Linked DNA regions of Elephas maximus indicus. The protein of the gene in region 4 interacts with the protein of the main gene of each other region in a pairwise test. Links are inferred from orthologs where the notes say so. Each region holds a gene or a part of one and is shown on either strand. Other genes may lie near its edges. The genes, in order: MKRN2, SERTAD3, EEF1AKMT1 and NDN.

Evidence for each region.
Region 1: the proteins of NDN (region 4) and MKRN2 interact in a two-hybrid assay, tested with the Homo sapiens proteins (2 studies listed by BioGRID and IntAct). The link is inferred for Elephas maximus indicus from reciprocal best matches to the Homo sapiens genes NDN and MKRN2.
Region 2: the proteins of NDN (region 4) and SERTAD3 interact in a two-hybrid assay, tested with the Homo sapiens proteins (2 studies listed by BioGRID and IntAct). The link is inferred for Elephas maximus indicus from reciprocal best matches to the Homo sapiens genes NDN and SERTAD3.
Region 3: the proteins of NDN (region 4) and EEF1AKMT1 interact in a two-hybrid assay, tested with the Homo sapiens proteins (2 studies listed by BioGRID and IntAct). The link is inferred for Elephas maximus indicus from reciprocal best matches to the Homo sapiens genes NDN and EEF1AKMT1.

The regions. Positions count from the first base shown.
Region 1 is NC_064838.1:37,722,752-37,730,772, reverse strand, and holds the start of MKRN2 (E3 ubiquitin-protein ligase makorin-2), read right to left. Parts: upstream 3,014-8,021; 5' UTR 2,909-3,013; coding exon 2,883-2,908; intron 1-2,882. UniProt on the Homo sapiens protein: E3 ubiquitin ligase catalyzing the covalent attachment of ubiquitin moieties onto substrate proteins.
Region 2 is NC_064829.1:111,219,684-111,227,158, reverse strand, and holds the start of SERTAD3 (SERTA domain-containing protein 3), read right to left. Parts: upstream 3,004-7,475; 5' UTR 2,815-3,003; intron 2,243-2,814; exon of another isoform or gene 2,020-2,242; intron 612-2,019; 5' UTR 343-611; intron 135-342; 5' UTR 129-134; coding exon 1-128. Other genes in the region: BLVRB (flavin reductase (NADPH)), read right to left, coding at 5,457-5,614.
Region 3 is NC_064841.1:51,169,261-51,176,628, forward strand, and holds the start of EEF1AKMT1 (EEF1A lysine methyltransferase 1), read right to left. Parts: upstream 3,001-7,368; 5' UTR 2,984-3,000; intron 1-2,983. UniProt on the Homo sapiens protein: Protein N-lysine methyltransferase that selectively catalyzes the trimethylation of EEF1A at 'Lys-79'.
Region 4 is NC_064831.1:99,136,129-99,142,855, reverse strand, and holds NDN (necdin), read left to right. Parts: upstream 1-4,546; 5' UTR 4,547-4,666; coding exon 4,667-5,650; 3' UTR 5,651-6,212; downstream 6,213-6,727. UniProt on the Homo sapiens protein: Growth suppressor that facilitates the entry of the cell into cell cycle arrest.

The DNA.
Region 1 (8,021 bases), on a different chromosome or scaffold from region 4:
GACAAGGCTAATCCAAGCACTGGTTGAAAAATTACTGCAATTATAACAAAAGAGACTTCCTAAGCTAACTTGTCATCTGCTTAACATCATCCCATTCATCCTCATTAGAATAGACTGCACTCGGTCTACTTGGCTGTTGGCCAATCAAATACCATCACACTAAAGCTAGCTTTATGACTGAAAAATCTCACTTAAGAGGTTTAAAAAAAAAAAGCTAGTTTGTGATGAAGCAGGCAGTAAAGTTCACCTTGCAGAGCTGAATGTAATAAATATACTGGGACAGTCCAATAATGAACAGGGCACTGGCATTGGGATGAAGACCCCTGTGTCTATTCCCATTTCTGTGCATTTGCTTGCCTGATTAAAGAGTTTTAAAACACAGAGTATACGGGTCTGGAAGTAGAAGAGGCAACTGGAAGTCTGCTCAGATAGAGTAACACAGATTAAAGGTACCCCACTTCCTTTCATTCAAATAATAGACTGGCTTATAAAATAAACAATATTACCCGTGAGTACTGTACTCCCTTACATAATCCACTGTATGAGAACAAACCGTCAACATTTACCCTAATGCAAAGATTAGAAGCAGGGGCATGAGAGCTAGATTAATGGAAACGGAACAGAATGGAAATGAGAATGCTGACACGTTGTGAAGAATGTAACCAATGTCACTGGACCAATTTTTGTTAAATGGGATCCTAATCTGCTGTGTAAACTTTCACCCAAAACACAATATTATTAAAACAAAACAAAACTTGGTACTCTTGGTAATTTTGCAGATTTTTTTTTAAAATACTTGTTATGTTTATTTGGCAAGGAAGTGCTTCTGAGGTCTGACTTCCCTCATACTCCTTTGCAAGTAAACACCTTTTCCTTTCTAAATGTTTGCGTTTTCCCTTCACATGACCATATTAAAACCTTAGAAAAATCCTACAGTCAGAAGCTTTAACTTAGCATTTCCCAAACTTATTTGGAGGCCATATAGTTTATGAGAGCATGGACTCTAATGTCACACCTCTGCCACTGAGTGGATTTTTGTGCGATCTGTGGAATGGTGTTGGTTCTGGATTACGTGAGACATGGCTGGTAGAGCACCTAAAAAGCACCCAGAACATACATCAGCCCCCTAAATGGAGATCTTTTCCCAACATTCCAACCTACTCTTAGTTTACATGTAACAATATTCTATAGGATGCCCCTGTTTGGGAAATACAGGATTAAAGTTCTCAGGTCAGGCCATCTTGGGGTGTAGAAGGAATAAAACAAGATGATCCTGATTTAAATTCTTAATTCTGCACTTCAGTGTAAAATTTGGGGCAAGTTTCAAGTACTTCTGGGTGTAAGCTTTCCTTATCTTTAAAATTAGATACTATAAGGAGTTGTGATTCACTTATAAAGCATTACATAAAGGTGCCCTCTTTTGCAGACATTTTACGAGCTGTAGACTGGGTTCAAGAATGGTAGAATTAAACCATAAAAGTAGATGGAGGAATAGATAAAACTTCCTACGTAGCAAGCTAGTATTTGCTTTTTAGTACGCAAAGACATAGGAGCATTCCCTCCAACAGGAGAAAAAATATACGCAAATAATATATATGCAGAGATCAAAAAAAGACCTTCTAGTACAAATAACCTAGCAAAAGTCTTTTCTATGGACACTAAATTCATCAAATGTCTAACAACTGCTTAACAAAAGCCACCTGGGCCTTGGATAAACTGGATGAACAGTTTATACACACTAATGCTAACAGAAAGCTTTAAACAGTCACTTATCAATTATTCATACTAATGAAGAGAAGTAACACTATCGATTATATGTAAATGAACTGTTTATTACATAACCAAACTATACAGCTTTTTTTTTTTTTTTTAGCAATGTTTCCCAAACAGGTATTGCTAATATCAATTATTAAAATAAATTTGTATCTTCCAAGCATACAATTCAACAGGACTGGGGTTCCAATACCGTTAAGCTACAAGCTAACGAAGGAGTAAGAGTGTTACGCAACCAAGCTGTTTCCATTTCACAGCAGCAATCAGACCTTAGCCATCTGGTTTTGAATTTTCTACACTAAATCATCCATTGCTGTCGCGAGCATTTCTCCAGTAAATGGGTCTCTCAGTAAGATGAGGGCATCAGTCAATCTCTTTCAGCCTCAGTTTCACGCACCGTAAAATGGAAGCAAATGTGCCTCGCTGTGAGCTCTAGTGACAACGTATATAAAAGGCTTGGTAACATGCGGGATGCTTAACAGGTTTTCGGTAAACGCTCCCTGTGTTATTTTCTGCACAATTTTTACTAATTCTATGCCAGTTCAGGTTACATCCGTGTCCTTCCAACTAAATCTTCAGCTTTTCAGCTAGAAAGTCAAAGGCTGGCTGACGGGAAGCGAAGGGGCTCTGGGTCCCCCAGATTCTTCGAGGATCTTCAATCGCGTAACCACCCACCGCGGCGTGGTGCCCTCGTTAGGAAACCACCAGAGCCCTTCACTCAGTTTCAAATCTCCCTTCCCAGCGACACTGCAGGCGCCAGGAGACCGCGTCCCACCCCCGGCCCGCTCCGGCCCAGCCGGCCTCCTCCCAGCCGCAGGCGCCCAAGCCCGCTGCGCAGCCTGCCCCGCCGCGCCCGCGGCTCCGAGCTCGGCCGGGGGACACGGGCCCGCACCCGCCGCGGCCCGGGCTCGGGCTCCGACAGCGCGCTAACCCGCTCGGAAGGCCCACGACTCTACTCGGCCCTGGGCTCGCTGCTCCGGCCGCAGGGCTAGGGCGCTGCGGCTGCTCGGGGCCGGGAAGGGGCGCCCCCGGATTCCGCGGCGCCCGCCGGGGGGCGCTGGCCACCCTTCGGGCCACGGGCGGCCTGTGCCGCGGCGCCGCGCACGGACCTGCAAGTGACCTGCTTGGTGCTCATGGTGGTCGGGCTGGGGGGCAGTCGTCGCGCCACTGCCTCTCGCTGTCGCCCTCGCCGCCACCGCCTCGGCCTTGGCCCTGCCCATCCCGCGCGGCCGCGTCACGTCGGCGCGCACCGCCCTCCGCGTGTGGCACTTTTGTAGCGCCGGCCAGAAACCTGACCGCCGTCATAATTGGTTCCGCCGCAGAGGGTGGGCATGGTCCGGTCCCCCTAGCCTTGCCGTCTGTGTGCCGCATTTCTAAGCCTCCGGGGCGGGTCTTGGCTGGCGTCCTAGTTCTCCCCGACTAGTTCCGGGTCCTCATAGTTCTTAGGATTTGGCCGGGTCTCCAGTGGCAATCCCTAGCGACGTCTGCTGTCTCTAGGGTCTCCTCACACCTTCCCCTGGCCGAGCTCCCGCCTCCTCCCCGCACACTTTCATCCCAAATACCCCTACTCATCCAGGCTTGCACTCCCTAGGCCCCTTTCCCCCTTAAGGAATTTTTAGTCCCCTCTGACTCTTCTTTACCCTTTTTTCAAAATTTCTATTCCCACCCTACTTTTTAGTCCTCTTTTCCTTTCCTGACATTCCTGTGATGTTCATCTTCACTTCCTACGGTGGAAATCCAAAAAGACAGTCTTCAAACTTACTCTGATTTACTATAACCTGCACAAAAATTTACTCAAAATTAGCTCTTACTGAAATGTAAGCACAAAAATTACAAAACTTTTGGAATAAAATATAGAAAATTTTTATGACCTTAGATTAGGCAGATTTCTTAGCTATGACATCTGAATGATGTAAGAAAAATATGACAAATTGCACTTCATCAAAATTAAAAACTTTTGCTCTTCAAAAGACACTGCTAAGAAAAGAAAAGCCACAGGAGAAAATGTTTGCAAATCATTTACCTGACAAAGGTCTTGTATCTAGAATAAAGAATCCTTAAAACTCAGTACAAAAATAAAGATCTAATTAAGAGATGGGAAGACACTTTACCAAAGAAAATATATGAATGGCAAATAAGCACAGCATAAGAAGCTCATATCATCAGCATCATTAACAATTAAAACCACAAAATCAAACCCATTGCTGTTGAGTTAATTTTGACTTAGAGCAACCCCATGCGTTACAGAATAGAGCTGCTCCGTCACGTTTTCTTGGCTGAAATTTCTACGAAAGCTGATCCCTAAGCCTTTATTCTGCAGTGCTGCTGCTGGGTTCAAGTCATCAGTCTTTAGTAGTTGAGCACAAACTGTTTGTACCATCCAAGAACCTCATTAATAATTAGGGAAATACAAACTAAAGTCACAACAAGATACCACTACACACCCACTTCTTGTTGTTGTTGTTAGGTGCCATCGAGTTGGTTCCGACTCATAGCGACCCTATGCACAACAGAACGAAACACTGCCTGGTCCTGCGCCATCCTTACAATCGTTGTTATGCTTGAGCTTATTGTTGCAGCCACTGTGTCAATCCACCTAGTTGAGGGTCTTCCTCTTTTCTGCCGACCCTGTACTCTGCCAAGCATGATGTCCTTCTCCAGGGACTGATGCCTCCTGACAACATGTCCAAAGTATGTAAGACGCAGTCTCGCCATCCTTGCCTCTAAGGAGCATTCTGGCCGCACTTCTTCCAAGACAGATTTGTTCATTCTTTTGGCAGTCCATGGTATATTCAATATTCTTCACCAACACCACAATTCAAAGGTATCAACTCTTCTTTGGTCTTCCTTATTCATTGCCCAGCTTTCACATGCATATGATGCGATTGAAAATACCATGGCTTGGGTCAGGCGCACCTTAGTCTTCAGGGTGACATCTTTGCTCTTCAACACTTTGAAGAGGTCCTTTGCAGCAGATTTACCCAATGCAATGCGTCTTTTGATTTCTTGACTGCTGCTTCCATGGCTGTTGATTGTGGATCCAAGCAAAATGAAATCCTGGACAACTTCAATCTTTTCTCCGTTTATCATGATGTTGCTTATTGGTCCAGTTGTGAGGATTTTTGTTTTCTTTATGTTGAGGTTTAATCCATACTGAAGGCTGTGGTCTTTGATCTTCATTAGTAAGTGCTTCAAATCCTCTTCACTTTCAGCAAGCAAGGTTGTGTCATCTGCATAACGCAGGTTGTTAACGAGTCTTCCTCCAATCCTGATGCCCTGTTCTTCTTCATATAGTCCAGCTTCTCGGATTATTTGCTCAGTATACAGATTAAATAGGTATAGTGAAAGAATACAACCCTGACGCACACCGTTCCTGACCTTAAACCAATCAGTATCCCCTTGTTCTGTCTGAACAACTGCCTCTTGGTTTATGTACAGGTTCCTCATGAGCACAATTAAGCGTTCTGGAATTCCCATTCTTCGCAGTGTTATCCATAGTTTGTTATGATCCACACAGTCGAATGCCTTTGCATAGTCCATAAAACACAGGTAAACATCCTTTTGGTATTCTCTGCTTCCAGCCAGGATCCATCTGACATCAGCAATGATATCCTTGGTTCCATGTCCTCTTCTAAAACCAGCCTGAATTTCTGGCAGTTCCCTGTCGATATACTGCTACAGCCGTTTTTGAATGATCTTCAGCAAAATTTTCTTGCGTGTGATATTAATGATATTGTTCTATAATTTCCACATTCGGTTGGATCACCGTTCTTGGGAATAGGCTTAAATATGGATCTCCTCCAGTCAGTTGGCCAGGAACCTGTCTTCCATATTTCTTGGCATAGACAAGTGAGTACCTCCAGTGCTGCATCTGCTTGTTGAAACATCTCAATTGATATTCCGTCAATTCCTGGAGCCTTGTTTTTTGCCAATGCCTTCAGAGCAGCTTGGATTTCTTCCTTCAGTACCATAGGTTCCTGATTATATGCCACCTCTCGAAATAGTTGAATATCGACTAATTCTTTTTGGTATATTGACTCTGTGTATTCCTTCCAGCTTCTTTTGATGCTTCCTGAGTCGTTTAATATTTTTCCCATGGAATCCTTCACTATTGCAACTCGAGGCTTGAATTTTTTCTTCAGTTCTTTCAGCTTGAGAAACGCCAAGCGTGTTCTTCCCTTTTGGTTTTCCATCTCCAGCTCTTTGCACATGTCATTATAATACTTTACTTTGTTTTCTCGAACCGCCCTTTGAAATCTTCTGTTCAGTTCTTTTACTTCATCAGTTCTGCCTTTTGCTTTAGCTGCTCGACGCTCAAGAGCAAGTTTCAGAGTCTCCTCTGACATCCATCTTGGTCTTTTCTTGCTTTCCTGTCTTTTCAGTGACTTCTTGCTTTCTTCATGGATGATGTCCTTGATGTCATTCCACAACTCATCTGGTCTTCGGTCACTAGTGTTCAATGCATCAAATCTATTCTTGAGATGGTCTCTAAATTCAGGTGGGATATACTCAAGTTCATATTTTGGCTCTCGTGGACTTGCTCTGATTTTCTTCAGTTTCAGCTTGAACTTGCATATGAGCAATTGATGGTCTGTTCCACAGTCGGCCCCTGGCTTTGTTCTGACTGATGATATTGAGCTTTTCCATCGTCTCTTTCCACAGATGTAGTCAATTTGATTTCTGTGTGTTTCATCTGGCGAGGTCCATGTGTACAGTCACCGTTTATGTTGGTGAAAGAAGGTATTTGCAATGAAGAAGTCGCTGGTCTTGCGAAATTCTATCATTTGATCTCTGGCATTGTTTCTATCACCAAGGCCATGTTTTCCAACTACTGATCCTTCTTCTTTGTTTCCAACTTTCCCATTCCAATCGCAGTAATTATAAATGCATCTTGATTGCATGTTCGATCAATTTCAGACTGCAGCAGCTGATAAAAATCTTCTATTTCTTCATCTTTGGCCCTAGCGGTTGGTAGGTAAATTTGAATAATAGTCATATTAACTGGTCTTCCTTGTAGGTGTATGGATGTTATCCTATCACTGACAGCATTGTACTTCAGGATAGATCTTGGAATGTTCTTTTTGACAATGAATGCAACACCATTCCTCTTCGAGTTGTCATTCCCAGCATAGTAGACTATATGATTGTCCAACTCAAAATGGCCAATACCAGTCCATTTCAGCTAACTAATGCCTAGGATTATCGATGTTTATGCATTCCATTTCATTTTTGACGATTTCCAATTTTCCTAGATTCATACTTCGTACATTCCAGGTTCAGATTATTAATGGCTGTTTGCAGCTGCTTCTTTTCATTTTGTGTCGTGCCACATCAGCAAATGAAGGTCCCGAAAGCTTTACTCCATCCACGTCATCAAGGTTGACTCTACTTTGAGGAGGCAGCTCTTCCCCAGTCATCTTTTGAGTGCCTTCCAACCTGGGGGCTCATCTTCCAGCACTATATCAGACAATGTTCCACTGCTATCAGACAATGTTCCACTGCTATTCACACCCACTAGAATGGCTAAATCATAAACATTGACAATTCCAAGTGTTGGTGAGCATATGGAGAAAACTAGAACACTCATACATTATTGGTGGGACTGTAAAATGGCACAGCCCCTTTGGAAAAGTTTGGCAGTTTCTTAAAAAGTTAACCATACACTTACCATGTAACTTGACAATCACACCATTAGGTATCTACCCACGAGCAATGAAAATGTGTATCCACACAAACACTTGTACATGAATGTTCACAGCAGCATTATTCAGAATAATCTAAAACTGCAAACAATCTAAATGTTTGTCAACTGGTGAAGAGATGAACAAAATGTGGTATATTCATATAATGGAATACTACCACCACTAACTGACATCAAGTTGACTCTGACCCATGGTGACCCATGTGTGTCAGAATAGAACTGTGCTCCATAGGGTTTTCGATGTTGATTTTTTGGAAGTAGATTGCCAGGCTTTCTTCTGAGGCACCTTTAGGTGGACTTGAACTTCCAACCTTCTGGTTGGCAGCTGAGCTTACTGAACATTTTCACCACCCAGGGACTCCAATGGAATACTTGTCACCAATAAAAAAGAAAGGAACAACTGATACGTGCAACAACATGGGTGTATTTCAAAAAAAAAAAATCATGCTAAATAAATTAAGCCATACACAAAAGATTACGTATTGTATGAAATTTCTAGAAAAGGCAAAACTATAGAGACAGAAATCAGATCAGAAGTTGCATGAGG
Region 2 (7,475 bases), on a different chromosome or scaffold from region 4:
TGGACCTTGTCTAGGGAGATGCGGAGCAGGGCTTGCTGATAGCTCCTTGGGCCTGCTGGGCCCCAGCCCCACTTCTCCTCCTCTTCCTCCTCTAAATCCGAGTGTTTCCTCTTCAAGCCTCCCACCATGATGCCCTGTGGAAAGGAGAGGGGCAAGTCAGACACAGCAGGGCTAGTTCAAATCCCACTTTCTTGCCTGTATGGTTATTGATGATTTTAATTATCTGAACCTCAGATAAGTTTCCTCATCTATAAAATGAATCCCACAGGGATAGGGAGAAAAGTAAATGGTTAAGAAAACAAGATCTGGACTTAAATATAGCTGGGATTGAATCCTACTTACTTGCCTGTGTGGCCTCGAATAGTGAATTTACCTCCCTGAGACTTGTTTCCATCTGCAAAATGAGGATCCTAACTCAAGTCTCTTTGAGTCTTAAAACTGGTCTTTCCATGATATTTATTTCTTCAAACATGTCACACACAAGACAGGTGTGGAGTACAGAGACCTGGACAGGAAGTAGAGAATCCTGGGTTTGAATTCTGTCTTTGACACTGCTCGGCTGTGTGATGGAAGTGACATGACATCACCCTTTTGGGACTCAGTTTCCTCATCTGTAAAATGGGGGTTGTAAAGAATACTTCTCACCACATTGTCAAGGAGATCACAAGTGTAATATGCACAGGGCCTACCACACAGGGGGGGCTTAATGATCAGAGTTAATTGCCATTTATTCATTCAATAGTAATTGCCATTTATTCATTCAATAGTTTAAGAGTGTCTACTATACTTGAGCAACCTGGAGCCCCAAGACGCTTTTTGCACAGGAACGATATTTCTGTCCGTGTCCTCTTCCTTAACTGACTGGGAGCGCTCCCAAAAACAGAAAAGAGGCCTCCCTCATCCCCTATGCTTCACCTTCTGCTTCCCTCAAAGTGCACCCCATTGGAAAACTTGCTAGAACTAAACTACGCCAAGCCCCGCCCCCTTAAGATACACCCAACCAGAACTTGGGTCTCCACAGGCCCCGCCCCCTCACTGGATCGCTATAAAGCCTCCAGACACGCCCCTGTCTGGACCATGGGCTTCTGGGAAATGTGGGTCTACAGCGGCCAACAGAAGAACCAACGCTGAGCGTACACTACAATCCCCAGAGGGCTCGGCGGGCCACAAGAAGGAAACTCCCCCCACCCTCCCTCAGGGCATGCGCACAGGGCGCCGGGTGGGTGGGGGAAGGGAACCCGGACGTCCAGCTGCCCCGCCCTCCACTGCCTCCCGGGCGGCGGGTCTGAGCTCCACGCCCAGAATACCCCTCCCCCACCCCTGCCTCCAGCTCTCCAGACTGCTTTCTCCCGGTCTCTCCGATCCCAGAAGGTCCGGATTGTTTCCCAAAATTGCCCTGGGACTGAGAGATCCAGGACCCAACACGTATCTCGAAGACTACAAATGCTGTCCGATCCTTCGGGAGACTAGGTATTCCGATCTGGAGACTCTCCCCTCAACTTTTGCCCCGGTTTTCAGGCGCCCCTGGACTTCACCTCCAAACTCCCCCTCCGGCTCCGAGACCCGAACATGGAACTCTCCCGCAGCACTCTCCCGGCCACTGCGTCTGGGAGACTAAGACTCTCTCTTCTCCAAATGCCCGCGATCCCAGCTCTAAATCCCCAGCCCCAAACTCCTCGCACCTTTTTCAGAACATGGGGACCCCGAATTCAACCCGTCCGGGAGATCCAAACTGGCCTAATCTCCAGATGCCTTGGCCACAAAGTTCCTTCCCTTGGTTTTCTCGCTGCTCCAAACACCCTGTGTCCCAGATTCAAACTCCCTCCATTTGAAGATCCCGCCCGAACAACTTCGCCTCCCATCCCCGATCTCGAACTCAGTCCGCTATTCCCACACCTCCCAAACCTCATCAGCCACCCTTAGCCTGTGCTTCCCACTCCCCGCCACCACAATTCCCGGGATGCGCTGCCACCTCCCCGGAACCAAGGCAGATCCCAAGCCGGGCAGCCAGTCCCTCACCTCAACTGCCTGGCGGCTCAGCGACAAGCTCGCAGAACCTCTGCCGCGCTTGGACCCACCGGTGCTGGGCTGGGGCCTCGCTCACCGTCCCGGGGCCTCGCAGTCTGGCCTCAGGCCCTCCCAGCTCCGCCCCGGAGCCGAGCCGCGGGCCGCGATTGGCTGGAGCCCTGCGCGCCGCGGGGCACCGATTGGCTGGGCGGAGCCACAGGCCCGTAGCCAGGAGACGCCCGGCCCGCCCTCCCCTGCCCCAGTGCTCCGCGCCTTTTAAAGGATTCCGACTTGCCAGGGGCGGGGCTACGCCTCCACGGTGGAAGACGGCAGGGGCATTAAAACCACTTTCTATGACTTTTGCTTTCCTAGCTCCGAGGTTGTCAGCACTGCTCTCTGAAATCCCCTTATGCCACGCCTGGACCCTGGGGTGGAGGAAGACCCGCTGGCACACCCCGACCCCGCTTCCCAGTAGGGCGGGGCCGAGAAAATCGCTGAGGCCTCGCCTCCGGGGTTCCGAGGGCTGACTACGGGAAGCAAGGAAGATGACGCGGCGGAAGGGTAGCCAATAAGCTGGCGCGGCCTGTGTTGCCTGGGCGACGGAAGCCCCGCCCCCTCGTTGCCCTTACTCTCTAGCCGCCCCCACTTTACCGGATGGCCCCCTCAATCTTTGGGACTTCTCGCAACGCCCTCTGATCTCCCTCCTGCATCCCCCTGCTCCCCCATCCTTACTCTCAGAATGGTGCCTTCGCTGCTGAACACTCGTTTATGGCTCCCTACTGCCCTGGGGTAAAGTCCAAACTCTACCTTTGCCACAATCCCTTTGCGGTCTGTCCCGAGGTACACTCTTCGCACGCTACGATCCTGCCACAGTGATTCATGTCCCGTTTTTCTAAAGTGGCCTTAAACGCCCTCCCCCACCGCGAAGACAAGAATTTTGTCTGTTTTCTTCCCTGTCTTATCCCCGGCGCCTACAACAATGCCAGTTACACAGCAAGTCCTCAAAAACCAGGATGAAAGACCTCTGGGTCTTTCAACTGGTTTCCTCATTCTGAGACCCCTGTGCCGCCGTCGTCGAGTGGATTCCGACTCACAGCGACTCTATAGGGCAGAGTAGAACTGCCCCCATAGGGCTTCTTAGGCTGTAAATCTTTACAGGAGCAAATCGCCACATCTTTCTCCAGCGGTGCAGCTGGTGGGGTTCGCACTGCCAGAACTTTCGGTTAGCAGCGGAGTGCTTAACCACCGTGCCACCAGGGCTTCTCCTCGTTCTAAAAATGTACCCTCAATTCCCAGACTGTCTTTACTCATCTCAAAGGTTCCCTCCTCTCGGAAGCCCTCCTTGACACCCCAGATTGGGTTGGGCCTGTCCCACGGCTTCCTGGCCTCCCTCGTCCCCCCCTCCCCGCACCGCGCTGCCCGTGCCTCCCCCACCCCCCCGGACCCCTCTGCCCGTGTCTCCCCCGACCCAGCCCGACCATCTGCCGGCGCCTCCCCCCGGCCTGGTCCGGACCCCTCTGCCCAGGCCTCCCCAGTCCCAACGCTGACTCCTCGGAGCTGTCACAGTCTGTGCGTCCCCTGAGGATAAGAACCAGGGTTATCCCAGTCAAGGCCTGGTCCCTAGCATCACCCAGCACAGGGCTGAACACAGTGAAAAAGTTTGTGAAATGCTCAGGCACTGTGACAGAAAGAATAGACAGCGGGCAGAGATAAAACTGCTGGAGCTCGGAAAGACTGACCCAGCGAGGCCTCACCCTCACGGCAGGGCTTCCCTGCACGGGGGAGGGGGAGGGGATAGTTTTCTCCAGTCCACTCCTGGGAGGGCAGGTTTAAGGCTCCTCAGACCAGTTTTCACCGGTTGGAATTTGTCATCCCAGCCAACCTGCTGTTTGCATAAGCAGTATAGGACTGGAATGGATTTTCAGGGGGCGTGGGGGAGGGCAGGAGGTCGGAGGTAGGGAGAGAGGGGTGACTCAGCCAGGTCTAGGAAGTGTCCCCCGGGAACAAAGTCAGGGGACAATAGATTCCAGGGAGGAACATGGGAAGGGGACAACTTTTTCCCTTCCTCCTCCCAAACCTATCCTTCCTCCAGGGTGCCCCCACTGTAAGCCCGTCTTCAGGTTGCAGCTGTGGGCTTCTTCCTAGATGCCTCCTTCCCCTCCCCCACAGCCTGTCCACTCAGGTTCCTCCCAGCCGTCCTCTCCTCCCCTCCCCTCAGCCCCTACCTAGCTCCAGCCCCATCCTCCCCCTGGGCTCCCAGCCTCCAGTCTTGCCCCTTCTAATCCACCTCCACGCAGTACTAACCAGAGGAAGCTTTCTAAAACACTAACCGTGACTGCCTCCCCCTTCCCCCCCGGCCCACCCTATCTCCCTCCTCTGCCTCACCCCGCTCCATGCCTAAAACCTCTGATTAAAGCTCAGTTTTTTACAAGGTCTGCACAATTAAGCCTCCATGGAGCTGATCACTCCCCACCTCAGCGCGGAGTGTTAACTGTAAACCCGTTGCCGTCCAGTCGATCCGATTCACAGCCAACCAATAGGACAGAGTAGAACTGCCCTGTGCCATAGGGTTTCCAAGGCTGTAAATCTTTACGGAAGCGGGCTGCCACATCTTTCTGCATGGCGGCTGGTGGGTTCGAACTGCGGACCTTTCTGTTAGCAGCCGAGGGCTTAATCACTGCACCTCCAGCAAGGGCTTCTTGTATTTACTGTAGGGCACAGATTTTAGTCCTTCAAAGGAACCCCGTGTTTTCTGACCTGGTCTTTGCTCCTATTGTTCCTTCTGCCTGGAATGACCTAAAACCTTCCCTGAGCTAGTTATTACCAAACCTTTAGGCTTCAGCTCAGACATCCCCTCTTCCAGAAAGCAAAAAGCTCCTCAAGCTAGGTCAGGGAACCCCTCTGTGCTCTCCCAGCCCACTGTACTTCCCCCATTAGCGCCCTGGTCACTCTGGATCAGCAGGGTTGTCTCCTCCACTGGACTGTGAGGGCCATGAAGGGGCTCACAGCTACCTCGGTCACCACCAGACAAAACCAAAAAAAAAAAAAAAAAAAAAACCAAATCAGTTGCTGCAGTATCAATTCCAACTCACAGCCATTCCATATGTGTCAGAATAGAACTGTGCTTCACAGACTTTTCAATGGCTGATTTTTCATGTAGATTGCTAGGCCTTTCTTCCGAGGTGCCCCTGGGTAGACTTGAACCACCAACTTTTCAGTTAGTAGCTGAGCACTTTACGTTTGAGCCATCCAGGAATTCAGACACAGAACAGGGACTCAATAAACTTGCTGAGCGAATGAATCAACACCCAGAAAATTTAACACAGAGTCCGGTCCTCTAGAATAATTTGAAGCCCTTGGCTCAAGATTTATTATTCCCTGACTCCTGGGCTGTCCTTCCTTTGTTCCCCATTCCCCAGAATGCCATCCTCCTGGGCAGGGCCAGAGCCCTAGTCGTACTGGTGGGAGGGGTAGGTGCTGTGCCCGTCGTACTTGTTGGTGGTGAGACAGTGCAGCATGAAGTGGCCCAGGTCATGTTTGGAAATGACCCTAGAGGGCCCTCGTCCATCCAGGGTCACTGAGTAGGCCCCTGTCAGCGGCTGGTCCCCTGTGAGGCAAAGACAGAGGGGCCAGGTGAAGCAAATTGTCCTTTCCCCAATACATGATTACCCTCATGACCTTCCCAGGGTACCTACTGCATACCCCCCCATCCCCGAAACCAAACCAAACCCTTTGCTGTCGAGTTGATTCCAACTCATAATGACCTTATAGGACAGAGTAGAACTGCCCCACAGGGTTTCCAAGGAGCAGGTGGTGGATTTGAACCGCTAACCTTTTGGTTAGCACCAATGCTCTTAACCACTGTGCTACCTGGGCTCCACCGCGTGCCCAATTGCTATAACATCCTACAATATGTGAAACCCTTCCCATGTGCAGGGTGCTTGTATAAGTTCTTTACTTCGCTCATTCGACAAACCCTTATTGATTACCCACTATGTGCAGGTGCTGGGCACACAGGAAAGGACAACAGAGACAAGCAACCTTGCTCTCAGGAAGCAGACATTCACTAGGGAAAGGCAACTAATAAGCTAAAAAAGATAGACAAAACGGTGGGTGAAGAGAAATAAAGCAAAGAACAGGCTAGAAACTATTATCAACCCCATTTTACGGACAGGCAAATTGAGTCTTGGAACGGCAAAGGTGATAAGTGGCAAAGGCTAGATTTGAACCCAGATCTGCTCTAAGCATGATGATGCTTTCTGCCCTCTGGACCTTTCTAAGAGCCCTGAGTGATATGTCCCAGGCATGGATCTGCATGTTATAGGCAGTGGAAGCAGACACATTTTTCTGACCTTGGGGACAAGGTGTTGATATTTCTGGAGCCTGGGAGTATCACTAGGTCTTTCTTAAACTCTGGGGATAGTGGAACAGGCTTGGCTTATTGTTGAAAGGGCATTTAGTGACTACGTTATGATAATTAAAAATTACTGGAAAAGTGTCCCTTTACATCCAGAAGATCTGACAGTGACCAACTTCATGTAGGGATCAAATTCAGCATCACCCATTGACAGACAACCTGGAATAACGTGCAGTAAGACACACAACCTCACCCATGTATTAGTCCTGCCGAAAATGTTCAATCTGAGTCTAACTGTGAGAAAACAAGAAAAATCCAGAACGAGGGGCATCTGAAAGGACGCCTGGCCTGGCCAATGTCGTGAGAGGCATTAAAAACAAAAGGTGGGGCGGGGGGGCTGTTCTAGATTTAAGGTGATGGGGCAACTAAACATCATACGTGATCTTTGATTGCGTTCTCATTTGGGGGGAGAGGAGGTTGAAAAGATACTTTGAAAATTGGGGGGAATCTGAATATGGCCCAGTCCATTGCTGTTGAGTCAATTCCAACACACAGTGACCCTAGAGGACAGAGCAGAACTGCCCCATAGGGTTTCCAAGGCTGTAAGCAGACTGGCACATCTTTCTCCTACAGAGTGGCTGGTGGGTTCAAACCGCTGATCTCTCGGTTAGCAGCTGAGAGCTTTAGCCACTGATGCTAAATGATATGACAGAATTAACATCAATATCTTTCTTCTTGCCTGTTGAGTACAGTGGGTTGATGTCCACAACTTACACTGTGCAGAAAAAAAAAATACATACATATGTTTAATTTTACCTGAATCCACAACCAACACCCATGCAAGCAGCAGTCAAGATATCAAAAAATGTATTGCACTGGACAAATCTGCTGCAAATGACCTCTTTAAAGTGCTAAAAAACAAAGATGTCATTTGGAGGACTAAGGTCTGCCTGACCCTGGTATTTTCAATTGCCTCATATGCATGTGAAAGCTGCACAATGAATGAAGAAAATTGATGCCTTTGAATTATGGTGTTGGCGGATATTGGATATACCATGGACTGCCAGAAGAATGAACAAATCTGTCTTGGAAGAAGTACAGCCAGAAGGTT
Region 3 (7,368 bases), on a different chromosome or scaffold from region 4:
TGTTTTTAAAAAATAATACTGAGGTGAAATGCACAAAACATAAAATCAAAGTGAACAAGTCAGTCACATTTAGTACATTTACAATGTGTAATCACCACCAACTCTATTTGCTTCTAAAACATTTCCATCATTCCAAAGTAAAACACTTTATCCATCAAGCAGTTTCACCTTAGTTTAAAAACTTTTTTAAAAAACTTACACATCAAAATATCTCTTGCATTTTAAAATAATTTCTAAGCTGGTTTGTAATAACACTGTGAAAGAGATTTTCAACTCTAAAAAAATTGGGCAGTGCTGTACTGTATTATTATTAAACTGACCTTGAGCATCACATAGCTCATACTCCATGTCAGTGCTTCTCAATCAGGGGTGATTTTAACCACCAGGGAAACATCTGACCATGCTGGGAGACATTTTGGTTGTTATAACTAGGGAGGGTGCTACGGGCATCTAGAGAGTAGAGGCCAAGGATGCTGCTAAGTATCCTACAATTCACAAGATAGCCCTTAGTAATAAAGAAATTATCTAGCTCAAAATACAATAGTACAGAGGTTGAGAAACCCTGCTCATAGACAAATAATAGTGATAACATGGTGAGCCCTCTAACAGAGTGCCATTCAGTGCCACGGACCAAACTGAAGGGCATGGATGGGAAGAGGATAGAAGTGCAAAAAAAAAAAAAAAAAACCCAAACCCGTTGTTGCTGTCGAGTCGATTCTGACTCATAGTATTTGAGCTTGCTTGGCTTTGAGGGACAGGAATAAAGAGTGAGGATTAGAAAAAGAAGGAACAGCATGAACAAAGCGATGGACACATCAATGTGTGGCATCAGCAAAGATTAGCAGGCTCCTGAGGAGCTGTGGAAAGGAGCCCTGGTGGCAAAGTGGTTAAGTGCTTGGCTGCTAATCCAAAGGTTGGAGGTTGCAACCCACCAGTTGCTCTGAGGGAGAAAAGACCTAGTGATCTGCTCCAGTAAAGATTGTTGTTAGGTGCTGTCGAGTCAGTTCCGACTCATGGTGACCTGGTCCTGCACCATCCTCACAATTATTGCTATGTTTGTGCCCACTGTTGCAGCAACTGTTTCAATTCATCTCGTTGAAGGTCTTCCTCTTTTTCACTGACCCTCTACTTTACCAAGCATGATATCTTTCTCCAAGGACTGGACCCTCCTGATAACATGCCCAAAATACGTAAGATGAAGTCTCCTCATCCTTGCTTCTAAGGGACATTTTGGTTGTACTACTTAAAGATTACAGTAAAGGTTACAGTCTAGGAAGCCATATGGGGCAGTTCTACTCTACCCTACGGGGTCACTATGAGTCAGAATGGACTGGAGGGCACACAATAGCAATGGGCCATGATTAGCTTCCATTTCTTTAAATAGTGCTTCACATAACTAATGTAATCCTAAGGAGTAATATGGAAATCCAATCACATTTCAAATATATAATCACGTGCCATTCCTCAACTTCCACATACCAAATTTTCTTAAAGCAAGATCTCCTACTGTGTAATTTTACATAGTACCACACTGCCTTCTGCAAGAAATTTAGATTGAGGTAGTACGATCCAGTGGAAAGAACAATAACCTAGGATTCAACCCAGATACCTGACTAAATGGCTGAGAAAACTTGGGCTAGTCTGCGAGGTTTCTCTATGAATGGAGACTGGCCTGGATGTTTTCTAAATACTTTTCATATATTGCACTATGATTCTACTCTTAATCTGATTTATTGTCAGGAAAGTTGGCTCATAATCTTTAATTTTCTTCTTTGCATATGTAGTTCCCTGCCTAAAACGTTCCCTCCCTCTTGCTTTCTCATTCTTTTTTGTTTTTTTTAACTTTTTAAAAAACTGCGGTAGAATTTTGCTTTACACAATTGTTTTTTTTAATTAACTTTTAAAAAATTGCAGAAAAATTTACCTATAGTGAAATGCAGATCTTAAATGCACAAGGCGATGAGTTTTGATACCCCCATGAACGAACACACAACCCCTATCTATCAAGACACACTTCTGGTCTGATACACGTCCCCCACCTTTGCTGTACTTCTGCAATCACAGCACTCACACTGTACCAGAGGGGCTAGTTGGCACAGCCGAATTCCTCACTCCCTTGTCTGTCTGCTGGAAGAGCCGAGGCTTCCTGTATCCAACTTCATTCCCCAGCCCCAGCACAGTGCCAGGGGTCCCTAGCTCCTAGAAAAACTTCAGAGACTTCAGGTAACTCTTTATGTTAGTGATTTTAAAAACCTTGTAATAAGGGGGATAAGTAAACCCAGAAAACCCAGTGCCATAGCTACTTTTTTTCTGGACTGAAAATGTTATCTGTCCAGTTTGTGACAAATAAAGCAATACACTCAATTGCACTCACGTTGAAGTAAATCCTGCTTTTTTTAGATTTCTCAATTTCATGCGCTAAAATATCTCGCAGAGGCCTGGTGGCGCAGTGGTTAAGAGCTATGGCTGCTAACTGAAAGGTCAGGTCGGCAGTTCAAATCCACCAGCCGCTCCTTGGAAACCCTATGGGGGCATTTCTGTTCTGTTCTGTAGCGTCGCTATGAGTTGGAATCGACTAGACCACAACGGGTTTGAGTTTTTTGGTTTAGCACAGTACCTGCTTTATCAGCCCTCAACTGACAGTTGCTGAGTGGATGACCGTCGTCCACTATTAAACAGAGACGCCTGCCTGCATACTGCTAAGCCTTGTTCATAGAACATAAAGAAGTGGCGAGGCCTGGTCCGGCGCTCTCCACGTGCCACCCGGTCTGGTAGGTTACTGCTCCCCTCAGCACCCAACTTCCCGGCGCCAAACAAGGAACCGGGTCGCCCCGCTCGGCTCAGCGAGTCTGCCACTGCCCCGCCACCACTACCTAATTCCGCTGGGAAAAGGATGAGGGAAAGAAGGAACAAAGACCCATAACCGACCCCAAATCCCCTCAGCAAGTGATAGCCCGACAACCACCGCCGAGTGTACACTCACCGCCGCGCCTGCGCAGTTTCCCGAAAGGGCAGAGGACGTGGGCGGGGCAAGTTAAACCCGCGCGCGCGCGCAGACGCCCTGGCCCATGTTTGTCTGGAAGGCTGGAGAAGGGCGGTTTCCCGTAGGCGTTCCGACCCAGGCGTTTATCTGCTTCTCACAGACTGACTTGCTGGGAGTTCCCGCACATTTTTCCATCTCACTTCCAAGGATGATGGCAGTGAAAAAAAGTGTAATATTTTAACTAGATTCACTGCAAGTTAAGCATTTTAAGAAACCAAGAGTAAATATAGGTTTTCAGTTACAAAGACTTCGTATGTCTTGTGTTCACGTGAAGTTAAGATATTAAATGGAGGCTTTATAACACTGATAGGATTAGAAATTTAAAACCTGAAAGAAAAAACCGTGCACCTTAATCAGATTTCCTCAGCATCGTTACCTACCTGTTTACTGTGGTTAATCTAAATCTATCCGCACTCATCTTTCATTATGGGGTTTGCTGCAAAGAACGCCAAGAGGTGTAAAAGAGTGCAAGATCGGATTGGTGTGTGAAACAGATGTTATAGACAGCTGTCTTCTTCACACGGAAATAAAACCAGCTACCGATTGTGAGGCAGCAACATTCTCTATGAAAATGAACGGAAATATAAGATGCTTTTTGGTCAGCTGACTTCTTTCACAGTCTTCACAAGTTAGAATACAATGAGTAAAACGTATAACACATCTAGCGTAGTACCTAGCACATTACCGGCAGTTATTAAGTGGTCTTTTCCACCTTGGCAGTTGCCAAATCGTAAGTGATGTATTTACTTTCTATTCCCCAAAACAATGTATATTGTGTTCCTTTATCAATTTCATTTTTTTTTTTTAAGTTTTATATATTCTGCTGATCAACTTTAAATTCTTTCCGGTATAAGGTGAGGCTATAAATGAATTGGCCAGCTACCAACTGGTGTGACTCAGTAGTTTATGAAACACTGAATTCAGACCTTCGGGTGTACCATAATTTCTATTTAAGTATTGTTTTCAGGTCTAGAGCAAAGCATGCTTCATTTGACTTTATTTCAAACTGATGACAAGTCCATTAAACCAAGTATTTCAAAACCAGGTGTAATTCAGGAAAGAAAATATATCAAACTTAGAAAAAAAAATCAATTAACATGAACCAAGAAACACTAACCAACTTTTATGGAGTGTATTTTTCAGAGGTAGTGTTTCCATAGTGTTCCATACACAGGAGATTGCCTTGGCTTGTAATTTAACAGAGAAGTTTATGTGAAAGCAAACTATTTTTGGTTTGAAACCGATTTAAGCTTTCAAAACTTCAACTGCTTTAAAACCATGTAAGACACAGTAGTTACCTTCATGTAATGTGTATCACTTACCATACAATATTTTTATAATTAAGTGACCACAGACGTCAGGAAGTTTCAATATTTATACCTCTATCAATAATGCTGATTCCTCAGACAGCATGTCAGTAATACATGAAGATTAATATTTTCCTAGTTAAACATTTGTATTGTAATGGTTTTTGCATATCAAAACTTTAAATACCAAAGGCAAAGTAATTCTCATTGGAACAAAGGGGAAATTACTTATCAAGTTAAACTGGACTTGAAAGATGCTTTCAGATTAACTTCAATTCAGGAATTACTCCTTTTGCATATTCAGAAAGGGCTTTTGTTCATATCTAAAAGTCAAATTCCTTGTAGAAAGTGTGCAAAAAGAGAAACCGAAGTCACTCTGGGAAGATCTTTTAAGATAAAGATGAAGCCAGACTGTTTTCCTATTTAAAAAAAAAACCAAACCAACTACTAATTATCTGTAACTGCAATGAACACATTACCTGTAACTACAATGAACACGGGTATTTTTCTTCCATTATTTGAGTGCTTTATCATCAAATTACTCAATTATCTGAAGCATGTTCCCTAGAATTCAGGCCCATTAGATGCTTTGAGGAAAATCTGGTTAAGATCTTTCAGAGCTTCACAATGAGTATTAGTGTATTAAAGCCTTTACATTCATAGTAAAGAAATCCATTTTATTTCTCACAAACTTGATAACAGACTAAGTTATGAAGAACTAATGATGTGTGAAACTTTGGGAATCACAGGAAATTTTTTGCTATAGGAATAGGAATACATTCAGCAGAAATCGCAACTGTGGATTCACATAAACCTATTTTCTCTCAATGGCAGTGGGTTTGGGTTGATTTTCTCTTTAAAAAAAAAAAAAAAGATACAGTAAATAGTATGGTGAACTTTGTCACAGTACTACTATGGTGGCTGTGACCAGATCTGTAAGGATCATATTCTATCAATGTGAATATACCACAGAATTAAAAATTAATGATTATCAGGCCTTAGACTTCATGTTAGGAAACATTTACCTAATGAAAATGTGTTCTTAGGAAAAAAATCTTTAAATATAATGGAATTTATTGAACATATATTTTATACATCACTATGTTTGTAAACCTCTCCTTGGAGAATAACAGCATTTATGATTCCGTGATACAGATGACAGATGCCTGGAAATTCATGTAGATCCTAAGTGGCCAAGCTAGGAATTGAATCTAGGTCGCTCTACCTGTCCTGTACTCCACCTTTTCCAATAGCTTTACCAGACCAGTCCTCAGAGAGAACCATCTGGGGCAGCACATTTAGGAGGTATGCAAATGACGATTACCACCTAAGATTTTGGGCTGACTGAAAAGAATATTTGTAAGACTAACCAAAGTATCAAAAACTGCTAATATGGGAATAGAAATATTTAAACTCTTTGTTTCATTTTCTTCATCAACTCTGGAAAACATCAATGACTTACCTCAGTTCACTCTTATGCTGGATGGTAAAAATAATTTACATGGAAAGTGCATAATAGGATGATTTATGTGCTAGGACTGAGGCAGTATGTGCCATTAAGTGCTGTATGGAATTTCCAAGCAAAGATTTTTCTCAATGATTTCATCAAATATGGTCTTTGCTTCTACTTAGTTTTAAAAGAAAGTCAAGACTGAACTGCCGTTTGAGATTATACATAGAATACACAGGCTGGGATCCTATGCTTCGAAACATAACAAACCCATAATTAATCAACACACCAAAATCATCATTCATAAAAACTAACCCATTGCCATTGGGTCGATTCTGGCTCATAGGGACCCTATAGAAGAGTAGAACTGCCCCTTGGATTTCCAAGGAACGGCTGGTGGATTTGAACTGCTGACCTATTGGCTGGCAGCCTGAGCTCTTAACCACTGCACCACCAGGGCTCCCATCATTCATAAGCCACTCAATATAAACCTATGGTATTTCTGGAGTGTACCATTATCTTAAAGATGTCTTTAAAAACCAGTAATGGATTTTTGTATTTAGGACCTTTAAAATCATTTATGGCTCTCTGAAATGACAGATGGTTGGCCTGTGCCTAAGGTCCCACCCTTAGTAATGAAAGAGAGGAAACAGACTAGAAACACACTCTAGTCTTTGTAAATAACCTAATTTTTCTTTCTCCATCCTTTTAAGTGTAATCAAGTCTGAATATAACCTAAGAAATACCACTATAAATCAATGAACATTCAAAGCAAAATCAATTTTAAAACAAATATATTTTCAAACTATTTTCTTCCTTAAAAACATGACTGTATGTTCGTAAGATTTCAGATTGGGCGAAGGGTGGAAAGTCTGTCTAGCATGTAACAGAATGGTGATTCTCCACTTCCCCTGAAAGGCCACAAAGAATGACTCAAACTACTAAAAATGTTTACTACAAACGTGCCCCAAATCCAATGATTTAGCTAATAATGCAAACTGTTTCTAAGACTGTTGGCTGAGGTAAAAATAAACATACTAAATGTTACAGAATATAAACAAAATTTTTATTTTCTTTCTGAGAACTGGGTATTCTATTAGGGTTGGGGCTTCCCCTACAAGGTAATGCAAGTTTAGCTATACAATATTTCCTGTTTTTTTATGACTGTGTAAGGTCGCCTGTGTCAATCATCCTATGATGGTAAACAAACTAGCACCATTTCAACAAGTTTCATAAAAGAATCTAGCTAAATACCCATGAACAAATCACACATGGTCAAAACAAAAATGTAATAAAAATATTTAGTGAAAAGACATATTTTAACTCCCATTTATGGATTTTAAAAATACAAATAAAATTTTATAAATTTGATATTCAGCTTGTTACTAGTTCAATACATAGCCTTGATTTACTTCTTAAAATCATATTGCAGCATCTTTTGAAAAATCAAATGCAACTTTATACCTTCATAGTTATGTTCAGTAGAGGTAAATATTTTAACAATATACTCATCCCTGGGTCTCTTTAAAAAACTGAAAAGTCTTCGTGTAAGTTAAAAATTTTAATTA
Region 4 (6,727 bases):
AAGAAATGGCACCACCATTTCTCAGACTGCACTGCCCAAACTCAGTCATCTCCAGGACAGAATCTTGGTTGTCCCTGGTATTCATAGTTAGCCCCTCATTTTTCCTTATATCTTCTCTACCATCCCTACTGAAAGTCAGTTGCCTCTGTTCCCTTCTCTCTGACAGCATTGTGGTTCCTTCCTGATATGCATCACGATTAATGATTATTTAGTTACTCATTTGTTTTATTGTTTGTGGCTCTTTTCCACCACCACTTCCCATACTACAGATTGCAGTGACCATGTCTTTCTTATTATATCCCCAGTACCTAGCACAATGGTTGAAATTTAGTGTTTAATAGTTGCCATGTGAAGATGAACTGCAAGCTTTTCTCACATGGATTCCTGCGAAAATTTCCTAATTGGTCCCTTTGTCTCTACTTGCCCACCTGCCCCAAATTCCAGACTTAATCCTGTAACCAGGTGATCTTTCTAAAAGACAACCCTGACCCTTACTCTCTGAGTGCTGGCAGGCTGCACTGTGGATCTGGGCAGGACTAGAAGGTCTCCAGTGAACGGTTGAATCTCCTCCCCTGCACTCTCCCAAATGTGGAAAGCAGCACTGCCTATCCTCGCTTCTTATTATTCTCTGACAAAAAAAGGTCTAGCTGCCAAATAGTCCATGATGTCATTGGTTTCCCCCTTGGATTGAGCTACTTTTCTACAATGCAAATCTGTGAGGCACATAACAAATACTGCTCAATAATAATTGCTTAACAAATTAACATGAGTTCTGTTTCAAACCTGTGGCTTGTGAGATCTTTGGTACCCTAGTTGGGGGTCCAAGGTGGATGGTGCTGTCTATGTAGAAAGAAAAGAGCCAGAAGGATTTACTTTTCACTCAGGGCCTCTGGGCCTCTGCACCATGAGCATGCTCTGTCCACTGGAGGCTGTCAGAAGTGGCCCCCTTCCCCTGCTTACTATGGAAACCAATGCCAGGACAGGCCTCTCCTCCTTTCCTAAGCCTGTCTGCCAAGAACGGCCTATCCCACAGCTGTTTAATCTGTTCCACATTATAGTTTGGAATAACCAACCAGCAAACTGTCTACTCCAGAAAATTCTTCATATACTTTCCATATACTTGCTGCATCCCTGAAGCTTCTATTTACAGAATCTTGATTTAAAGAATATCCTTTTCTTAGTTTCTTTGGGGAGATACTATCGTAAGTATCAGGCTTCTGCTTCTAAGCTGCTGCTCCTGAGAAGACTAATTGCCCAGATCAAAAAGGGCAGTCTCGTGGATACCGAGCAAGTCTAATTTATCCCCAACACTCTTGGAACATCGCTGGAGGTCCAGCCCCAAATCTTGACCCTTGGGTTTAAGCATTTGTGCATACCTCATGAGCACTGGTTTCCTATTCTTTCCCATAATGTCAGCTGTCATTTTCCTTATAGTTTTGAATTCTTGCATCTTTAGTTTATGGGTTGGCACCTTATTAAGTAGCTACAAAATCCTTCCCATGGCACATGTGCACGTGTTTTCTCCCCTTAAGCGCTATCCTAAGCTTTACTTTGTTTCCCCATCTTATTGAATTTTCTTCTTATTGGGAAATCGAGCATCTTCATCAGATCTTTTCCTGGGAAGAAAATAACAGTACCAAGGTATAGTTGGGCTTCAAGGGAGAGTAGCACCAGAGATTTACTCTGTACCTGATTTCAAAATTGAGAATCAGTTTTGAGGCTTTAATCTCTCCTAAAATAATCCCTATGTGGTTCTAATCCACAGGGTCTGTAAGAAGTGAGGTGTGAAATGAGCTGTGGCAGAGGTGCGGGTGTACTCTCCAGCATAGCGTCGGTGACCTCACCAGAATGAGGTCCAAGCAGGAACTCAATTATCCAGTCCTGCTCCAGGCAGCTACTCAAGCCTAAGGAGCTTTCTAGTTGAAGATCTGCTATCCCACTTCAGTAATAACTGATTTTTGTAACAGCTGTGCCCAAGCTTGCAATTTGATTTCATCAATTTGCTAAATCTAGGAGGGTAAACTGTGAGGATGTAGTTTTAATAAATTTGCATCAGCAGAAATTATGGCCCATGGTGAGAAATGAGCTGAGATTTAAATAATAGGCTCAAACGTCCTAATTTTTAAGACATTAAATGAACTTAATATTTAATTCAAATAATTAGAAAAATATAAAAATCCAAACTAAAGAAAGAAGAGGAAAATTAATGGAGGTTAAAGTATTATATTTAAGAAGCATAAGAGCAAAAAATCTATACAAGCACCATTCTAAAAAACAAAGAAATAAAGGTATATCATACTTCTGTAAGATATATTCAAGAAAATGTTAGAAATTTATAAATTAAAGAAGAAGCTAAGTGCAAAAAAAACAACTAAAACAGATCTGTATGATATGTAGGAATTATACTCGTGATGTGGGTGGCTAAGAAGTCCTGTTGGAGGAACCCATGGAAGAGTGCTTCTTCTAAAGGTGACACGTGTGAAAGAAAACCCAACGATAAGAATGAGACAGCACAATACACAGTAATGTGCCTCATAACATCCGTTCAGGCAATGTCCAACCACATATCTGACCCTAGCCCCATAAAGTTATAATAGAGCTCAGAAATCTTGATAGGAGAGCCAGACATGGCAGATTTAGGCATATCACACTGGACAATCACCACGATCCTCAAAAACAGAGAAAAACAAACTGTTAAAGGATGGGATCCACTGAAAACTACAATGCTAATGAAAATTGGAGAGGGACTTATATCAGACATAAAGAAATTGGTAATGATGTGGACTGAGGACCAAATACAAAAGCAATCCCTCTCACCACATTGACCATCACTGCTAAGGCACAATGCTTGTTCAAGATGCGTAAAGAAAAACCAAGATCAGACTGTGATATCAAGTCTATTGCTTGCTCTGGGTGGTTCAAGCACTTCAAACAACATTTTTTGCTGTTTAATGTGAAAGTAAATGGTGAGTCTGTGAGTGCTGATTCAAAGGCAGCAGAAGAATTTGTTGGAATCTTTGATAAAGTATTTGTAGAGGGAGGTTATTTTCCCCATGAAATTTTTAATATGGACAAAACCCACTTATTCTGGAAGCAAATGCCTGAAAGGACCTTCATCCATAATATGGTGTACACACAATGTCCCAATCACATAACATCCTATTTCATAGGACATATTGGGGATCTTAAGCGATGCATGACTGTAAATAAATAAATCTACTTGAGAAATAATAAAGTGAGAAATGAGGAAGGAGATATAACCAAGTTAAGAGAGGACTGTAGATATGTCAAGACATATTTTAAACAAGCTTTGGGTTTCAGGTGACAATAGCCAGACCTGAGATAGCATATTTAAGAGGAGCCGCTGATTTGAGGAAACTCAGCAAGGGCTGAAGGACAAAACTCAGCTCAGACCGAAGATACTGATCAATCTCAAGAGCCCTAGTCCCAGGGGCTTCAACGCAGGCCCCTTTTTTCACGGATACGCCCTTGGAGTGTCAGCTTCATCTTTGCCCACTGCCGATGGGTTTTCAGCACTTGGGAAACAAGACCATAAATATGTTCATCTTCTACCTTTGAACATGTGAGAGAGACTGACACATATCTATGCACCCCACATCTAAAAACAATATGAGGAAGGCCTTGGGTGAAGCTCCCAAAGGTGGGACCATTCAGGTGCTGCCAGAGGGTGGGAGTGGGATCATCTGAGAAGGTAGGAGCATCCACATGAACACAGAGTGGAGGTAGAAGTAATCAGGGGTGGGAGTGTTTTGGGCAAACAAGGAAAAATACATTAGCATACAAGCTTGTGCTAATAAATATGACAATCTTTGTATTATAGGAACTTATGGAAAAGTCGAAATGAAATAAATGTAACTCAAAGGAAATGGAAAACCAAAATCAATGACCATTAAAACACTAAGGGTTAGTAGCTTATTATCTCCAAAAACGTTCAGTTTTCACATGGCCTGATAGAGAATGACTTTAATTACATTCTGTGTTTCTCCTTATAATGCCTCTGGTTTGCTAGGGACAACATCAATTTTTATTGGTGTTTCTCAGGATTCCAATCTCAGACACCCTCCTCACAGTTTATACAGTTTCTTGGGCAATCCCGAATGCTCCCTTGGTTTAAATTATATTTATGATAGCCAAGTTTACACAACAGCATAGACTTTTCTCTAGGACTTTTGTATCTAACTTGATTCTGGTGGAATTCTGGTTGAACATTTATTCCCGTTGAACATTTCCTGAGAAACTTGACCTCAAGTCTCTCAAAAGCTTAAGTTATCTTTCCCCATACACCTGCCTCTTCTCCAGCGGCCACCCGCCTTGGCCCCTACCCCCACCTCTCTAGCCCAAACAGGAAATCTGAACTCATTCTTGCCATCTTGCTAGTGGAGGTCTCTAGCCTCTTCCCTGGCACCACTGCAAGACCGCCCCTTCGGGCTCGGCCCCGCCCCGCCCCTTTGGCTCTTGGCCCGGCCGAGGGCCCCCGCCCCGCAGCCTGCAGACGCGCAGGCGCGCTCTCCCGCTCCGCCCCGGCTCTCCGCTGCGGAAGGCGCCGCGCAGTAGCGCGCACTTCCTCTCCAGGAGTCCGCAGAGGGAGCGCAGATCCTAAGAGCTCCGGGACGCAGAGGCCCTGCCCTTGTCAGACAGAGCAGACATGTCGGAACAAAGTAAGGATCTGGGCTACTCCAGGTTTGCAGCCGAGGCTTCCCATGCCGAGGTGTGCATTAGCCCTGGGGTCCCCATGGAGGGTCCGCCGCCAGCCTCTCAGGCCGCCACCCTCGGAGAGCCGCAGAGCCTCCCTTTTAGCCCGATGGACGCCCCCCAGGCTTCGCCTTCGCCCCAGGCCCTAAGCGACGAGGGGGACATGAGGGCTCTGTTGCTGGAGGAGGAAGAAGACTGCGCCTGCCAGGCCCAGAGCGCGGCCCAGGCCCAGCCAGGCCTGGCGCCACCGACCCCTGCTCAGCTGGTGCAGAAGGCTCACGAGCTCATGTGGTACGTGCTTGTCAAGGACCAGAGGAAGATGGTCATCTGGTTCCCAGACATAGTGAAGGATGTCATCGGAAGCTACAAGAAATGGTGCAGAAGCATTCTCAAACGCACCAGCATCATCCTCGCCCGAGTGTTCGGGCTGCACCTGAGGCTGACCAACCTGCACACGATGGAGTTCTCGCTGGTGAAGGCGCTGGAGCCGGAGGAGCTGGACAGGATGGCGTTGAGCAACCACATGCCCATGACAGGTCTCCTGCTGATGATTCTTAGCCTCATCTACGTGAAGGGCCGCGGTGCCAGAGAGAGCGCGGTCTGGAACGTGCTGCGCATCCTGGGGCTGCGGCCCTGGAGGAAGCACTCCACCTTTGCGGATGTGAGGAAGGTCATCACGGAGGAGTTTGTTCAGCAGAATTACCTGAAGTACCAACGCGTTCCATACGTTGAGCCACCCGAGTATGAGTTCTTCTGGGGCCCCAGAGCTTGCCGTGAAATTACCAAGATGCAGATCATGGAGTTCCTGTCTAGGGTCTTTAAGAAAGACCCCCAGGCCTGGCCTTCCCGGTACAGAGAAGCTCTCCAGGAGGCCAGAGCCCTGCGGGAGGCTGAGACCATTGCCCACGCCTTCCGCAGCAGTATTTCCGAGGACTAGCAAGGTCGGGAGGCAGATTGATTGATCTGACCCTCACCAGTGCTGTGGAGGGGTGGGGGGCGTTAGAGTATTCAGGATTTACAGTGCAGTGTTTCACGTGTAACTTTCAGTTTTCAGTACAGTGCTTTTATACCATTTAATGCAATGTTGTATTCATTGGGGTATATTTGCTAGCGTTTAGGATTTATGCATGTTTGCTTATAAGTAAGCTTGCTTCATGCTTTCTCTCTTGTGCTACCTTTCTTGGGTTTTTGTACCAGAGACGTGCTAAACTTGTGAAATACATTGAGAAATTTTCCATCTTATTCTTTTATATGGAAGAGATGATGTATATTGGGATTAAGACTGCTCATGGAGAGTTTTGAAGAACTCTCCAGTAAAGCTGGCCAGACCAAGAGAAATGTCAAGGCCCCTCTCTGTCCTTGCTGGGCACAGGAAATACATCTGTGGGGAGTGGGAGTTCAGTGATTTGAACTGAAGTGGTCTCAATGTGGGTAGTTGGCACACTTTACTGAAAACAAGTACAGTCCCACCATCAGTAAACATTAAAGATCTTGTGATACAATCATTTTTGGAAAAGTGTCCTTTATATATGTTTTAAACAAAGTAGTATTGTTGGTAATGAGACAGCATTGTCAGTTTTACAAAATGTACAGACACAACTTGCTCAGCTAATAGGGTATAAAATCACTACTCATCATTGTCATGAGTCTGTGAAGCTTAGTTTTATTTTTTATGTAACTCACATGTTCGTTTCAGAAACTGACAAATACAGAAAAGTATAAAACAAGCAAAATTGCTCATAATCGCATTGCTCTATTAAATCACAGTTAATAGAGCAATTTCCTTAATTTCATTTTCTACATTTATTAAAATTAATAGCTTTAAAAAACTACGCTATGTTTTTGAGCATTTGAAGAGTGAAGCATTGTACTAAACACTTCCATGTATTTAATCCTCATAACAGCCCTGTGAGGCAGGCACTCATTACATCTGTACCAAGGAGGAAATTCTGGAACAAAAAATCATTAACTTTCTCCAAATCATAAGCTTATTAAGAGGAGGGGTTATAATTTG